Linked DNA regions of Mus musculus. The protein of the gene in region 1 interacts with the protein of each later gene in a pairwise test. Links are inferred from orthologs where the notes say so. Each region holds a gene or a part of one and is shown on either strand. Other genes may lie near its edges.

What was found. The genes of interacting proteins can lie anywhere in the genome.
Region 2: the proteins of Pnma1 (region 1) and Mab21l2 interact in binary tests that used the Homo sapiens proteins (3 or more experiments, as listed by UniProt). The two-hybrid records come from large-scale screens. The link is inferred for Mus musculus from reciprocal best matches to the Homo sapiens genes PNMA1 and MAB21L2.

The regions. Positions count from the first base shown.
Region 1 is NC_000078.6:84,143,185-84,151,451, forward strand, and holds Pnma1 (paraneoplastic antigen Ma1 homolog), read right to left. Parts: upstream 5,306-8,267; 5' UTR 4,744-5,305; coding exon 3,682-4,743; 3' UTR 2,947-3,681; downstream 1-2,946.
Region 2 is NC_000069.6:86,542,655-86,550,921, forward strand, and holds Mab21l2 (protein mab-21-like 2), read right to left. Parts: upstream 5,630-8,267; 5' UTR 5,038-5,629; coding exon 3,958-5,037; 3' UTR 3,396-3,957; downstream 1-3,395. Other genes in the region: Lrba (lipopolysaccharide-responsive and beige-like anchor protein), read left to right, coding at 1-57. UniProt on the Homo sapiens protein: Required for several aspects of embryonic development including normal development of the eye.

The DNA.
Region 1 (8,267 bases):
CTGCCTATGACGCTGTTGCCAAGTGGGACCACTCCTGCCAATGGCCAGTGGAGAGCAGAAGGTACCCAGTCCACCTGCTTCTCTCAGGTTGTCGTTCATGGCCAGGAGCATCATTCGCAAAGCTTTGACTTCTAGATCCATGTTCATTCTGAAGAACGTTTTAACATCTGTTAATGCTTTGGTAATAATCTTTTCTACACAGGACTTTTGTAGCATGACTTTATGACTAAACTTATTGTGCATTAAATTATTTAGTAATATTGAGTTTCTGAATGTTATTTTGTGAAACTTGTTTTAAAATAGTAATAAATCATGTTATTTTATAAAAAAAAAGAAGTCCTTTGGTTACTGTATTCTAGTTAATATTAGAGTAACTTTCATGATATTTGATTTCTAAAGCAATTCAGCTTTTGAATAGTAGAATCCATGCATGTGGTGAGAGGGCCAGGGAGGAGAGAAAGGGAGAGCAACCAGGGTGCAAAGACCCTTAACTCGTATTGATTGATGATTGATTGATTGATTGATTGATTGACTGACTGACTGACTGACTGACTGACTGACTGACTGACTGACTGACTGACTGAGGCGAGGTCTCAGGTGTAGCCCTAGTTGTCGTAGAACTCACTCTGTAGACAAGGCTGTTCACAAACACAGAGATCTGCCTGCCTCTGCCTCTGCCTCTGCCTCTGCCTCTGCCTCCCAAGTGCTTGGATTAAAGGTGTGCACAGCACACAGCTGAATCAGTCTCTGCTAATTTCTTCCTCACTTAGCACTGGTGAGCATGTCCTTTGCTGACTTTCTAACTCACCCACCATTATGTGTCCACTGGAAAGAGGATTCCCACGGTCAGCAAGCTTGCCTGCCCATGATCATCCCTAGTAAAGGTTAGCCGAGAGACCCCTGAGAAACAGGGTAACCCCACAGGATCAGGAGCACCATACATTTGCCAGTGTACAGTCTGTGCTGTCAGTCAAAATGTACTTTAGTTACAGAATAAAACCGCCATGCAGTTTCTATGATCTCACTGGTCTTTGAATATACCTTTCTAAAAAAAAAATCAGAATTTAAAATTTTTTGAGCTTATAGAAAGAAAACAAATCAAATCAGTTACTTTTAATTCAGTTTTCTTGCTCAAAGGATGTGTGTCAGCATCTCAGGAGACTGAGGCAGGAGGCTAGGCAAGTTCAAGAATAGCCTAGGCTACAGAGGAAACTCAACTCAAAGAGACTGGAAAAGGGGAATGCTCACATGTTTCGTATTCCATATGAATGTATGGGCCTTACATTTAATTAAATAGTAAAATACTTTTCCTCATGGGATGCAATCAATCAGCTATATAAAGAAAGTATTCTAAACATGGTGGCACAAGCCTATATAATACCAGCCCTGGGGAACATGAGGCAGGAGATTATAAGTTCAAAACCAACCTCAGCTACATAGCAAGTTGCAGGACAGCTTCCTTTGTACAATGTGAGACTTCTAAAACAACAAACCAGAACAAGGGGCAGGCCTGCCGTACAGTGGTAAAGTGCTCGACCTGCATGCGTGTGATCTTAGCTTCACTCATTGCTACTGAAGAAAGCAATCTAGCAACCACCGAGGTGAGGTGGCATTGGCAGGACAGGGTGGGCTGGTGAGGTGTCTTGGCATGTAAAGGCTGTCACCGTAAGCTGCCAACCTGAGCTTGATCCCCCCCAGAACTACTTGGTGGAAGGACAGAGCTGATGCCTACAAGTTGTCCCGTGTCCTCCACATGTCTTTGCCCACAATCAAAGCAAGTACTATGTTCCTATGTGAAGCCAAGGATGCCGACAACATAAAAGATGCAGACTCCATCCTTGTTTTTAAGAACATATATCTAAGTGAGAGTGGTTGGTTAGCTCAGGATAGCGGAATTCGAGCTTGTATAAAAGTGTAGGAAGTCAAATCTTACGTTGAGGGACCTACGTGGTAGAAGGAGAAAATGGGTTCCTGCAAGTTGTCCTTTGACCTCCATATTCATACCATAACATATACACCAACATACATACACACAATATTTTAAAAAGAAAAATCTGGACCAACACATAAGAATATTAGCATCCACCAGCTAACAGTCACAATTAACAAATGGCAGAATGGCAGAGTCCTGTCCCCCACCCCCACCCTGCCCCGCCCCATTCTCTGCCCTGCCCCATTCACACTGGTGCATCCATGAAGCAAAACCTCAGAGATTGACAGTGCCTATTACCCCAGCTCTAGTCTCAGACCCTAAAAGAAAATTTCAGGGCATTTCCAGATTGACCCGGGAGCTCAGAGGTGGGCATCTGCAGTCACTGAAACTTATAAAATGGCTATTGGGAGACAAACACTTTGCACACAAAGTGGACTAGATCATTGTTTCTGTGCCGAAACACTGTCAGTCACACAATGACTTTAAAACAGAAAGGTTGCTAGCTAACCTAAGCCCCAATTCAATTTTTTTTATCAGATTTCATAGAAACATCTCTCTTTGGTTGTTATCTCTTGCCTTGAGGAAGTCATGTGGAAATTGAACTCACTGAAAGGTAGATGTAGTAGTGTCTGCCTAGAATCTCAGCCCCCAAGAGGTAGGCAGAAGGATCACAGGTTCAAGAGCAGTAGCCCATGCTACACAGTGAGACAGTATCTACAAGAAATAGCTAGGGGTAGTGGCTCAAACCTGTAATCCCAGGACCGCTGCAAGTTTGAGGTCAGCCTGGGCTACAGAGTGAATTTCAGGCCAGCCTCAGCTACAGAGTGGGACTGTGACAAAACAACCAAGGAACCACCCAACCAAGATGTATAGGTGACACTGCAACTTAAATTCATAGCAAGGAGGGTAATTTTTGTTTTGTTTTGTTTTGTTTTACATGAACAAAAGTCCTTGTTAGGAGAAAAATATACGGAGCTAAATTAACTGAAAAATTTTATACGTGTCAGGAAAAATGAGAATTTTCAAATTTTTATTTGTATACATCTATTCAATAACTTCAAACTTAGAACCCTTAGCGCTGACCAATTATTAAATGACTAGTCTTTGAAGTGGGGGAAGTGTAGACTGGCCACGGCCACTCCCCCTAGGACTTCTGTCTTCCACCGTGAGGAACTGATTGTGCAGCTCGGTAAAGGCCTGGTTTTTTCTAACATGCCACTTTTAGTCCGAGGATCCTTTTCAGGGAAACTGATTCCAGCGTTGAGCCGTGAGGAATTAGAAATCCGCATTTTTCAAGATGAGTAATATCTTCTAATAGAATCACATTCTTTCCATCGATACAAATTGGGAACAATTTACAGTAAAACCATCCACAGTGTTAGTAACAAACACAAGAGTTTGTACTGTACAGTCTGTGAACCTGGTGCGCGGTTAGCATCAGAACCTGCAGCTTCGCAACCACCTTGACAGGAAGTGTCACAGCTTCACGTTTGTGCACAGCTGTCAGAGATGTCGCCAGGAGGGCTGGCATCAAGCATTCACTTTAGGCAGTAAGGACCACCTTTACCGTTGCAGCTCCTGACAATCACACACTTCTGTGAATGTTACAGGAATATGCGGGCCTGACTTCCCCATCCCATCCCTCAGGAAACAAAACCAAGCCAGGAGGAGGCTGGGTGCTTGCTTTGAGTGGCAGGCTTACTAAAACGTCACAGGTATATCAAAAGCAGCCTGGCCAGTCCTAGGACTCAGAAGTGCCCCTCCAGGCCTAGCTGCAAGAGGGCGGCCTCGGCCTCCTCCTCCTCCTTCTTGGCTTCCTCCTCTCGAATCTGCACCAGTAACTGGAAGAGGTTGGGTGCAGGCCCTTCCTCAGCCCCGGCCAGCCACAACTGCCTTCGGAGGGCCCCACTGTGGTTAGCCCCAGCGATGACCTGCTCCAAGCGAGCCTGGTTCACGTTATCTTTATCAATGACCCCCTTGTCTACTACCTTTTGCAGCAGAGGCTCCAGACGGATAACATACGAAGATAACTTTTCTCCTGGGTTCTGGTAAGTGTTCAGAAATCTGACCTGTGCATCTCTAGAGCTCTCCACACTCCCAAAGACCTGCTCAAGAGCCTTCAGGCATTCTGCGGTCGTTATGGCGGCGTTGTTGGTCTTGAGGATGCGGATGACGTCAGCAGCGGGGCCTCTCAAACTCTCCATCAACCGCCGTCTCTTTTCTATATCCGACACCTGCCATTCCTCTATGATTTCATTTGAGTGCTCCAGCCAGGAATCAAAGGTTTCCTCGCCAGGCCCGGGAATGTCCTTCCCGGAGAATAACGTCAGCTTCTTATACCATATGGACTCAACAAGAGGTTGAATAACATTATCCAAAATATAGTTGAGCATCTCTGCTGGCATTTCCGGGCCTGGAGCTGGAGCAGGGTTCTGAAACCCAAGCACACGAGCAACATCTTGCACGGTCCACCCTTCCCTAGCTAGAAAGAGGTGCAGCCTTTCCAAAAAAACTGCGTCGGAAGTGGGGGGTTTAAACACCACTTTCCAGAGCCCTCCTTTGCCTGGCATCTCCCTGGGTATCAGGGAGTAATCCACTGCCCCAGTGAGCTCTAACAAGGCTGCTTTAGCATTTTCTTCCCTCCAGAACATTCTCCCCAGCACTCGATAGGATACCTGGGGCATCGCAGCTTGGAGGGTCTCTTCAATTTCGGTCTCATCACAGTTCACAGGGATCCCCCAGACCAACAGAGCTCTCTGAGAGTTCACATCCATTCCCCTGCACCAGTCTTCCAATAGTGTCATAGCCATTTCACCCAACTATTAAAAGTGCCAGTTCTACAGACACTGCTTGGACTGGCTCACGAGGCTATAGGGCCTAGGACAATACAACATGCTCTCCTCCCCCGGTAGGCCAGGGGGCGACAAGCTTCAGGCAACCACAATTACCAAAAGACACCAGAGTTCCTTCTTGTCCCTTCCGGGTCCCAAGTCAGGGTCGGGAGCCACGGGACACTCCGCCTATCACTCGAATGTCGCCCCCTTTGGTCCGGGCAGGGAGGGCTGAACTGGCTGCAGCTGTGTCTGGCGTCACCGCTTAAAGAGAGGGAGCAAGGTGGGCTCAAGACTGATGACTCCGGGCGGGAGATGGCTGGGTGCGGTCGCGGGGCGTGGCAGCTCCTCCCACCTCTCCCCGGCACGCCGGCGGGCTGAGGGTCACGCGAGGCCGTGGCTTGGCTACGTGGGGAGAGGCGGCACTCCGAGCACCGGGAACCCAAGCGGCAGGAAGCACGGGATGGGGGAGAAACTCGGCTGGAGGCAGCTCTGCCTAGCGCTTATGTCCGCGCGCTCCCGCAACGGCCGGCGTGCAGCTGCAGTGGAGGGCGGAACCGGTCCGCTTGTCTCCCCCAGTGTCACCGTGACAACTGTGTCCATGACGACGCGAGATACGCGGGCTCCAGAGGATCTGGCGGTTGCTATGGTGCCAAGAAGGGGTTTGAGGAGTCTATTCTATGACGGCGCATTTCTTTTTACACCCCCCCCCCCGCCTTCCCTGATTCTTTCTTAGCTATTGCTACGCATGCTTTATTTAATTTTGCCGTGGATTTAAGCTGGCTTTATTGATACGCATCTACCACGACGGACTTATCTCATATTGCTCATCCATTCTATGAATTCAGTCTTTAACTCTGACTTCCGGGAACCACCTGATCCCACTCTGCAACTACTTGGTTCCTCCCCACAAAACTAGGAAAGAGAATTCCATCTACTGGTTCCTGTGAGTGTCTGACTTGGCTTTCTTGTTTAAAGTGTGTGTGTGTGTGTGTGTGTGTGTGTGTGTGTGTGTGTACACAAAACCCCGTGACTACTTACCTTTGTAGCCAGGCAAACTGCAAACATATTGCCTTCTTATCCTTACTGAGTATACAAGATAGCAAAACAGAATGTTTATGGCCCCGAAAAGGCGGGTAAGTTCTCTTCAAGCAAAACAAGGCCTATCAGTCCCAGACGGCAAAAACACCCCTATAAGAATGTGGTATTCAACAATGAATTTTTTTTAAAACCTTATTTAATAAAAGGTCTTAAGATACAGAACATTCAAAAGTAAATAAGTTACATAGGTACATTACAATCACAGCAAGATTCTCTTTAGTGTATTAATTTTTTTTTTATAAAAAGCACACAAAAAATAAAATTTTCAGTCTGGTCTATCACAACTGTACACAAAGAGGTAATATTTATATTTATATATATATATATATGTACACTATTTTAATATGTAACAGTCTTTTTTAAAAAGAGTGCCACAGGCAACAAACACATGAAAGGCAGTGTCTGACCATTTTGTTTCAAAATAAAAGGAATATACTTACTTTATGCTATTAAAATATTTGTACACTAATTACAGACTGTCAAGGCTGTTCTGTGCTCCATCCTCTCCAGCAAGGCCTTTAACGTAAGAGACAAATGAGGAAAAGTTCTAACAGCTGCAATTTTTTTTTTTTTGAGGCAACAAACACAGCCAAATGTGGGTTAGACACAACTGTTTTTATATAAAAATATGCATACTTCCTGTAAAAACCTAAGGGGTTAGGCTTTGCCAGTCTAGTAATAAATAATAACCCAGAACAGTGAGCCCCAATAAAAACATTTCAACAGCTGAGGCTTGAGTACTATTGCACTCTTCCTCCTCTGTCTTTAACATCTGGCACATGAGAAGAAAGAGGTTGGGTGACTGAGGCAGTTAAATATAGGCAATCCCTTTAGACATCATGAGCACAGGGCCTCTGTGCCGGGGTGGGAGGTGGGGCGGCAAGGACGGTGGGTGGGTGGGTACTTTAGCTCTAAGGGGGCTGCTGAAGGCTTGGAGGACAGCAGTGAGGGCAAGAGACCTCAGAGATGGCCCAGAACACAGGCACGGTCAGTGTCATGGCCTTCTCTGAATGCAGGTGGAAGCTGGGGGACAGGCAGGGTGACACTGTATAGGGACGTTATTGTCAAACAGGGAGCTCTGAATAGAAAGAACAACAAAAGCCAAGCCCAGTGTGTTCGTACGAGAAAGCACCAGTAAGGACGCGCCTGCGCCAGCCTCCGGCCGCACGTGCATCTCCGCTTTGAACTAGTTCAGTTTCCACACGGGCGCGCTGGAGCATGGGCCCCTCTAAAACAGTGTCTGGTGGGATCACTACCTAAAGGTACCATCTTTATCCCCCCACCCCCACCCCGGCTATAGTCATCTGGTCTCTGTGAACTTAGAAAAGTTCTTGCTTTTTTGCTGTTTTTAATTAAGATTTCTAAGGATTAGTTGGTACCACTGAGCAGAGGAGTCTCATGTGGCTGAAGGATCTCATGTGGCTGCTATCACCTGTCCACCAAGGGGCCTGAGCCAGATATGGTTTAAATAGAAAAGAACCTTGGGAAACCTAAGTGGCACTTTGGGGCTGAGCTGTGAAGGCACGCGTTATAGAAGTGATTTAGAAGAGATCCTAAACTTGTTGCCCTCCTGCTTCTAGAGGGTACCACATTTTTGTAATCCCGGGACTTCGAGCTGATAGAAGCCTATGAAGGAAACAAACCGGGGAAACTGAAGGTTAAGGTAACTGTCTAGGTATCTAGGGGGACAGGTTTGTTATTTCCACCCGCAGCTCTCTCATAGAACCATACTAATGTGTAAATGAATGTAAGAAATACCCAATAGTCTACAGCTTCAAAACAAAACCCCATCTCTATTTCCAATTCCCAACGGGCTGTAGGCTATTTCCGCTCCTTACTAACATTCTAAACAGTCAGACACACGGTCACTTAAGACTCTCTTTTGTACAACTAAAATTAAGTGATGATATCAGAAAAGTGGCTTTAGGCCCCTACTGAACTGGAAAGCGAAGGGGACTCTAGAACATTCCAACCCTTCAGTAATTCCAAGCCAAATATGGTTTCTTCAAGCCAGAATCGAGGCTGATAACCAAAACTAGAATTCTGGCCTCTTGCCAACTCCCTCGAGCATTTGAAAGTACAGAAAAGGCAGGACAGAGACCTGCCTTTGACCTCACCCACATCTGCTGGCTTCCTGTGACTGATAACACTCCCCGCCTTCCCAGCCCGATCAGTTTCTGTCATTCCTGCGGCCAAGAGCCACAAGGTAAGGGACCCCAGGGCCATGGAACTGGGGGAGGGCTTGGGGATGCCAAAAAGGTGCCTTATTTTGGGATAAATGCACTTGGACCTCTGGAAAGCAAGAGGCCCCTGGTCCCTGAGGATGTTAAAACTTAAATATTAAAAAAAATAAATAAATAGTTCCCAAATGACAACAAGCCACAGAATGAAGGCTCCTGTCT
Region 2 (8,267 bases), on another chromosome or scaffold:
GAACTCTATTTTGAGGTGGATGAAGAGGATCCCAACTTCAAGAAAATTGACCCAAAGGTGAGAAGATGGGGAGGGAAGGGGTTATTTATTTATATATCTTGTTATTATGGGTTAGTGTGTTCTACAAATTAAAATTGGAATTGGTAAAATCTCATAAGCTTAGTTCAAAGCTCTTGCAGAACTGCCTCTGCTTGCTACAAAGCAGTTATCAGTTCCAGCTTAAGACTCTTTTACCATCTTGTTAGATTACTGACGTTCATTTAAATTCAAAAACAATTCCCACTTAATTGCATTTATCATTAGTTCTTCAGGGGAAGAGACCTCGGGGAACATTGTCTATAAATATATTCTGCCTGAAGGGGTCCAAAGTGAATTAAGCAACAAAAATTCAGTGAGCTTGAGAGTAGAATTGTTTTGTTTAGCCCTTATCTTTTCTGGATATAACACCAATATATCATTATGCTTGCTTTGTCCCCATAGCTTACTATTCTTTGGTGCACGTGAGCGTATTCTGCCAGAGTGTGATACCTCTGTTTCCCATTACCTGTGGTAGCTTTTACAAGGCACTGCATAATTTCCTATTCTTAAATGAAAATGTAATTTCCCCTTTCAAAGGTATTTTGATTACTTTTCAGACCATGGCAATTTTACTTTACTTAGAAACATTTCTGTTTTTTAACACAGTCATAAAGCCAAAATAATGTTGATTTTATGAAAGTAAGTACTATAATTTGTTCTGAGAGGAAGCAGTTTATTGAAAAATAACCAAGTAAGTGTCCTGTAGAAAGAGTAGTGGTTTAAAATGGAATAATTAATTTTACTGGCTTGTAGTGTGTGTGTGTGTGTGTGTGTGTGTGTGTGTGTGTGTGTGTGTGTGCGCGCGCGCGCGCACATGCGTGCCCATGCGGGTGCATGCGTGCAGTATGTACATATTCTATTTATTGGTAGCCTCTTCTGTTTTGGAATCATGTGGAATTGTGAAATCTTTCTAATTTGGAAGTATTTCTAAAAAAACTTTTGAGAAAAAATAATGTTATAATTTTGTTGAGCTTTACAAACAATTTCTTATCTCAGCCATGTTTGCTTTAAGTACTTTGTTTCCATACCACTGTCTGTATCAGGAAGAACTTGCTGGAACACATGAAAAGAAAACCACGAGAGAACTGGTTAGTTACAGTTAGATAAATTAGTGACTCTGGTACAGAGAAAACTTGAATTCTGAACTTTTATCACCTCAAAATGTTTTCTACTTTGTCTCATGGCTAAAGTATATGAAAATATATTATAAATTCATTATGAAAGGCTACCAAAATTATTTAAACTCTGATTCCTGACGCTTCAGAACTTCAGAGAGACTGAGACTTCATTCAGAATACTTTACTTTTGGGACATAGTTTAAAGTCTAAAATCTAATCAATGGTGTTTAAAAACTTTTTTCAAAATTAAGATCTTTGTCAGCCTTTGAGAACAGGTTCTTTGAAGCTATTTGTTCTTTTATAGGAAGCTGTAGCTTTTAAGTTTTTTTTGTCTTTCTGTAGCATAATTACATTAGTTTTCTTTCTCTGTTGCTTGTAAAACATAAGATATTTTACCTTAATCATGAAATTTGTCTTGTACTGAAACCTTCCTAGTTCTCCAGACATCAACATATTTGAAATTAACTTCAGCAAATTATTGATAGAATATTTGATTTAATATTGACATTAATGCTAAAAGATATTTTTATTGTAAACACTTTTCTTGACTACATTTTTAACATTAAAACCTTTTTTAAAACTTGCATTAAATAAGGATGTGAGGATATCAAATTGGGTTGTTTTTTCTTGTCAATACTTAGTAACTTTTTCATAAGTAGTTGGAAGAAGCGCTGTTCCGTGCTACACATGCTTTTTCTTGTGCATGAGTCATTTTTTAAGAAAGCATTTTAACCTTTTACACCAAATACTGTGCTTTAAATGATTTGTGTACACCTCTGAGTAGCTATTGCTTTATATTTTCAAACATACTCCTTTGAAAATTTTCTTAAAATTCAGACCTTCTCCTTAAGAGGATAAATTGTTTTATTGTTCAAAATAATTAGTGAGTGCACTGAATTAATGAGTTTGTTTTTATTTTTACAAGAAGACACAACATACACACACACACAGACACACACACACACAGACACACACCCGGTACTAAGTACATTGAAAGGTCAAAGGTATTTTCAAAGTAGGTAGCCCCTAAGCTTATATTTTTGACACAGAATTACTTTTCCCAGGGCAGCCTGAGCTTATGCCTGTTCTGTCAAGTGACCTGGTGCTTCAGAGCCCTGGGAGCTTCCCAGGGCTCAGTAATCTTAGTCCTCCTGTTCTTAGCCCCACGCGCCCCTCCCCCACCCAGACTTCTCCTCTGAATACTGCCTTGTACAACATTTTCTTCTATATCTTTCACTTATAGATTAAAAAATAGATGAATTTAAAAAATAAAATTTAAATATTAGAGGTAGTATTTAACATATTCTGTTCCTTTACTTCACATGGTCAAATCTTGTCCTTTGGCCAGAAAACAAACCAGTTTCTTTAGGATATTTTCAGTTTTCCTAATTATTTTTTATTCCAAACAGTTATTTTATTGCATGTAAAAGAAATCTTATCAGAGTTGAAACATTGAAATGAGTCTATGGGATTGTTACCTGAGAAAGCAGAATATGGAAGGTGCTTTTCCTATTTCTAAATTTTTGGAGTAATTATTTAGGTCATAAAATAGTTTTAAGACCTTTATATATAGGTAGATTCAAAATAATTTTTGAAATTTAATTAAAATGATACTGTTTATTGCATTCATAACTAAATCATTAAAAAACCAAAGTAGTTATAAATCTGAATTGTTCATATTACCAGTTGCTAGAGGAGAGAAATATTGCAGTGACTATTTTATTATTTTTGGTGTCTTTGATTTTCTTGCTAATTTTATTTATTATTACTAGTTGAAACTTAAAAAGAATAGTTGAAGAAAGAGCATGACATGACTTCATTCTTTAAAAGCAATTTTAAAAACATTTAGAACTAGATTTTAAAAAACCTTACAGCATTAAAAAAATCCTGATATAATTTTAAATAGGCTTTTTTATTATTTTAAATTTTAGGATTAACAATATATTGTTTCACACTTTTCTTTTTTAAATATTGCTATTAACATAAAATATGTGTTATATTGAGTAAAATACTTATTTTACTTTTTACTAAGGATTTTGGGGGAGATTTATATAATTAATTCTCCAGAATATGCTGTATTTTAAAGTTTGCAAATCAGAGTTCAAATGGAAGCTTCCTGTATTTAGTTCAAGTTCACATCTTGTAAGTTAGAAAGTGATCTCATCTGCCTTCATTCAAGAACAATCCGCAAGCAGCCAATTACAATGTAAAGTAATATTTTTATTACTGGTTTACTGGTTTCAACAAGACATTTTAGGGCGGGGGTTAGGGGTGCAAAAGGAGGAGGCAGGGGCACATTGACATTGGCACTGAGACACATTTCACATCAGTAAAACTTTGTAAAAGAAATTTCACATATAGTTAAATAATTATTTTCACTTGGTGACAATCACGCAAGCAACCCAAAACAAGGAGGGGCGGGCGTAAAGAAGGAAAAGAAGGGAAGCTACTATACATTGATTTGAAAAATGTACCTTGGGTTTCATTTTGTGTTCGCAAAGCCGGATTGCTTCTTTTGTGCGATCTTTAAATTCACATTGTTTGGAAGGAAACGATCATTTTTGTGCAAGAATGTTATTTTTGGGGTGGGGGGGTTGGTTGGTTTGCCCTCTTTTGTTTGCTTCTTAATTAGGATGTCTTCTGCCTACTCCCGTTCTTTCAGGTGATTTACATAAAAGTTTGTGTTTCGAGTTTTTGCTGTTGTTGTGTGTTCTGGGAGAGCATGCCCATTTATGTTGCTTTCCACGCAGTCGGCAGCACTCTATAGTTTGTCCAAGCTTTTGGGATTGGTGAGGATTTCCCTGGCCAATCTCCAGGTCTGCTTGGCAGCGCTCTCCAGGGCCGAGTGGGGCTTACCCTGGAAGAGGTCGAGGTTGGGCAAAAAGTAGTGAGGGCAGCGGCGGCACTGCAGGCAGGAGATGAGCTGTAGCAGGATGCCGTTCAGACGGTCGCCCAAGCAAGCCTCGTCCCAGTCCGTTTCCCTCGGGTGTTTCTCGCACTCGTACAGCAGCAGCGTCTTCATGTGGTAGTTATTGAGCGGCTGGCCAGGCAGCTCCAGGTGGCGGTCCCGCAGCGTCTTCAGCACCGAGAGGCACTTGTTTCTACAGCCGCCCATCAGCAAGCGGTTCTCCGCCTCACCGAACTGCAGCACCCAGGCGTCGCTTTCTGCGGAGCTCTGCTTGCCAGTCAGCGAGTAGCACTCCTTGGAGAGCAAGTTGAACCCTTCGGCCTTGACCTCCGCCACCCGATTGGGGCCGGGCCAGGGGATGTGGGGCATAGGCCACTGTGCCGCGCTGCGAGGCCAGATCCCGGTGCACTTGAACGCTGGGGTGATTTGCACCACGTAGCGCTCCCTGATGCGCAACTTGACCTCACTAGTGTCGGCGATCATCTTGACCACGTCCCGGTAGCTGCACTTGTCCACCGCCTGGGCTACTAGTGTCTGGAAACGCGAGCGGATCTTGCGCGCAGAAAGGTAGCCAGACGCTGTGATGAACTCGACCCAAAGAGACATGCTCCGCTTCCGCCCATCGCTTAGTTTGAGCACGGCACAGCCGGGCAGAGATCCGTCGTCCACGAAGTTGAAGACTCCCATCTGGTTGAGGTAGAGTACCACCTCGAACTCGGTGGGCGAGATTACCTCCAGCCCCTCGTAGCGGGCGTCAATCTCACTCAGAGAGCTGATGAAGCGGGGCTCTTGCACCTCCACTTCCTTTAGCACATCCGACACTACCTTGCAGACTTCTCGGATGGTCTTGGCGATCGCAGCCTTGCGCGCCTGGCAGCGCTCGGTGTAGTATTTATTGAGCTGGTAAACCAGCTTGGCCTGAGCGGCGATCATGTTGGGGCACAGGTCCGGGCTGTACACCGGCGTCTCGCAATACGTTGAGGGATCCAAGGCTCACGCACTGGTGGTGGCCCTGCGGCTGTGGAAAGGCGGTGCGTTCCCCCTGAAGCCCCAATTTCACTCTTGCTTTCCACCTGGGCTGACCGGCTGATGATATAGCCGGCTGGCCTTTTCTTTTCCCTCTTTGGAATTTTCTTTTCTTTCTTCCGCAGAAAATTAGAAATAATATTATTTAGGGGGGAAAGTACCTGCAAAAATAAAGACGAGCCTCTCCTTGTGCGGGAGAGATGGATGAAATCGTGAGAGAGAAAAAACTAGGTTACCAAGAGGCTAGGCTTAGATGTCCGCAGCAGCCACGATTGCCCAGATATCTGGAAATGAAGTCTTATAAGTGCCAAAGTAAATTTAAAAATAAGACAAAAACATTCAGTGGTTCATTCTGAAACTTCTCCCTCGATGGTTGGACGCCTTCGCTCAGCGTAGGTGATGCCTTCCTTACCCTCCCCCAAAAGGAAAGTGAAGGATGTAATTAATGCCCGGAGAGCAGCGAAGTACAGCTCAGGCCGCAGCGCACTCTGAGGTTTGCAGACGCCCCGCGCGGTCTCAGCGTGCTAGTCTCCTCTCTTCTCAGGGGGTTGTGTCGTAGCAGTTTTCCTGGCTTCCTACTGGAGGCGTTGTTTGGATTGGGTTGGTTTGTTTGTGGTGGGTTCTTCCTGCCTTTCTCTAGGTGCAAACTGCTGCAAGTTGTTTGATATTCTTTTCTGCCTCGTTATTTATACTTTTGGCCCTAGCAAAATCTATTTTAGTGTGACTAAATCGTTGCTTACGTTGTATCTGGTGTGCAGGTCTAAGGAGTCCGGGTTTTTCCTCTCCTCTGGGTTGCGTTTGCAGTCTCTACCTCATCCCCCTGTCCTCTGATACCTGCCCCCCACACTTCTCTCTCTCTCTCTCTCTCTCTCTCTCTCTCTCTCTCTCTCTCTCTCTCTCTCTCTCTCTCTCTCTCTCCTTAGTTTATGAATGGTTCTGGGCCACCGTGAAGGGGTGGAGCTTCAGTTCCTACAATCCCTATGCAAGCTGTCAGTGCTTTAGCCAATCCGAGAGAAAGAGAGAGAGAGGACAAGCTTGGGACCTCAGCAGCCACCACACTGCACTTGATAAAGGGGGCGTGGGGGGTGAGAAAATGGGACTAGACAGAAGCCAAATGCTCTCACTCGTTTCATAGTCCCATTTTCTTTTTTATCCTCTTTTCTTACCGTTGCAGTGAGGAGGAGAGTCTTCATAGAAGGGATTCTTCTCTGGGTATGGCTGGATCAATTCCTGCAAAGTAGTAGTGCTTTCAGTGAGCTTCACTTTTGGTTTTAAGTCTCTGAACATTCTGCAGAAGGTGCAGACTCTAACAAACTGTCTTTGGCTTGAAGGCAAATGAGAGCAGGAAGGGGAGCTTAAGAAAGGACTTAAATTTTGTAGTCCCCCCCCCCTTCTCTTTCCCTCCCATCCCATTGTTGCCAAGAGCTGGAGAATTGCTGTGTATGTGTAAAGGAGGGGATAGGATGACAGTCTATAACCATAAATCTCTTGTTAGTAATTTCCATATGCTGTTAAAAATACAGAACAGGACAAAAACTACTCCAGATATGTTTTTGATCCTTATTTCATAATTTAGATTTAGCTATCTTTGTGTCATTATTTTACTCTTATAGGAATTTACCAATAACTAGAGAGAAAATATGTGAGTTTTGAGAAACTGTAAGTTTATATATTAGCATACATTACTTGGTTATACTTGCTGATTGAAATAAGCTACCAAAATAGTTTAGACTTAAATTAAAATGAAGGAAAAAAATGAGCCTGAATTCAGGTTTTCTTAATTTTTTAAATACTGTGACGTTAATTGTGAACATATTCTTGGGCAGTACTGGTTTAGAATAATTTTATTTTCATAATTGATTCTTGCTTTTAAAGGAGTTGACTGGGATAAAAATCTATAACTTTACTGTTATTGATTACCCAGATGGCCTTCCTCCTCCCCTGCATCCCACTAAAACTCAGTCGCTCTTGTTCCTTAGAATATGTGTTATCCTTAACAAGCTGTGTGATTGCTGCCTCGTAGGACTTTTGGAAAAACAAGGGCTGCAGCAAGGTGATTCACTTGCTACTGGGAGTTTATCTCAGAATTTAAGATGCCAGGGCTCTCAGTTGTTTTAATACACTCAGGTAGTTAAGGGCTATTTTTAGGTTGATTTGGCAGATAATATTTAAGCCGTGGGTTATGCATAGGGAAAATAAAATCTTTAGCCCGTTTTTTTTTTTTTTTAAAAAGCTGTGTATAACTTTTGTAAAACCCCGTAGGAGAGCTTGACTTGCATTTTTTGAAACCTACCAGAACCTGAATTCAGTTGCTACCGAGAGAGCTAATGTTTCTTTCTACTGGGCATGAGATGCTTGGATCCCTACCCCTTCATTCGTTCTTAGTCTTTGGTGGTCCGGAGGGCTGGAGACTTGACCCGCCTCCACCTTGATGCTAAAGCTCCTTTCTAAAGAGTATTTGGGTTTTTCTTTTTTAAACCAAGCGGGATTTATCGCTTGGGGGCCGTTTTAAGTAGCGAGGAGTTGGGAAGAACCTTGCAAAGTAAGCATCAGAGAGCCTCTGGGACAGTAGTTTCATGGGCGTTCCTAAGAGTGAATGCACTACTAGGCGGCTAGCTGCGGCCAGCGGTTTCCCGCTGGTCAGGGAGGCTTTGGTGCTGCAGGACCCAGACCATGCCATGTAGCCGGGTAACTAGTGCGTTCTATAGTCCCTGCCTTGGAGGTGTTACAGGCCAGAGGGGTGTACTCCCGTGGAGTATGGGACCACAGGGAAAAGAAGCTTGGAACAAATCCCACAGGCAGTGCTGGGCGGGCGGGGACTGGTGGCAAGGCCCAGGTGCAGAGTTCCTCCACATCCTCCAGGGGCCAGATCTGCAGCATGCATGTGGCCAGAGACGCCTGTGCGAACCCTTGTAATTCTGGCTGTCTCAGCTCGGCCTGCCACGTCTTCAAGCTACAGGACACGCGCACCCACTGCATTCACCTCTGCCAGCTTGAGCAAGTTTCCTCACACCCTTGTCCACCGTTTCTCCACTTCTCTTCCTAGAGGCAAGGATGATAAAACGTTACAAATGTTTTGATTTAAAAACAATTCATTACCAATTTACCCTGTCTAAGGTAGATGCTCTAGTAAATAA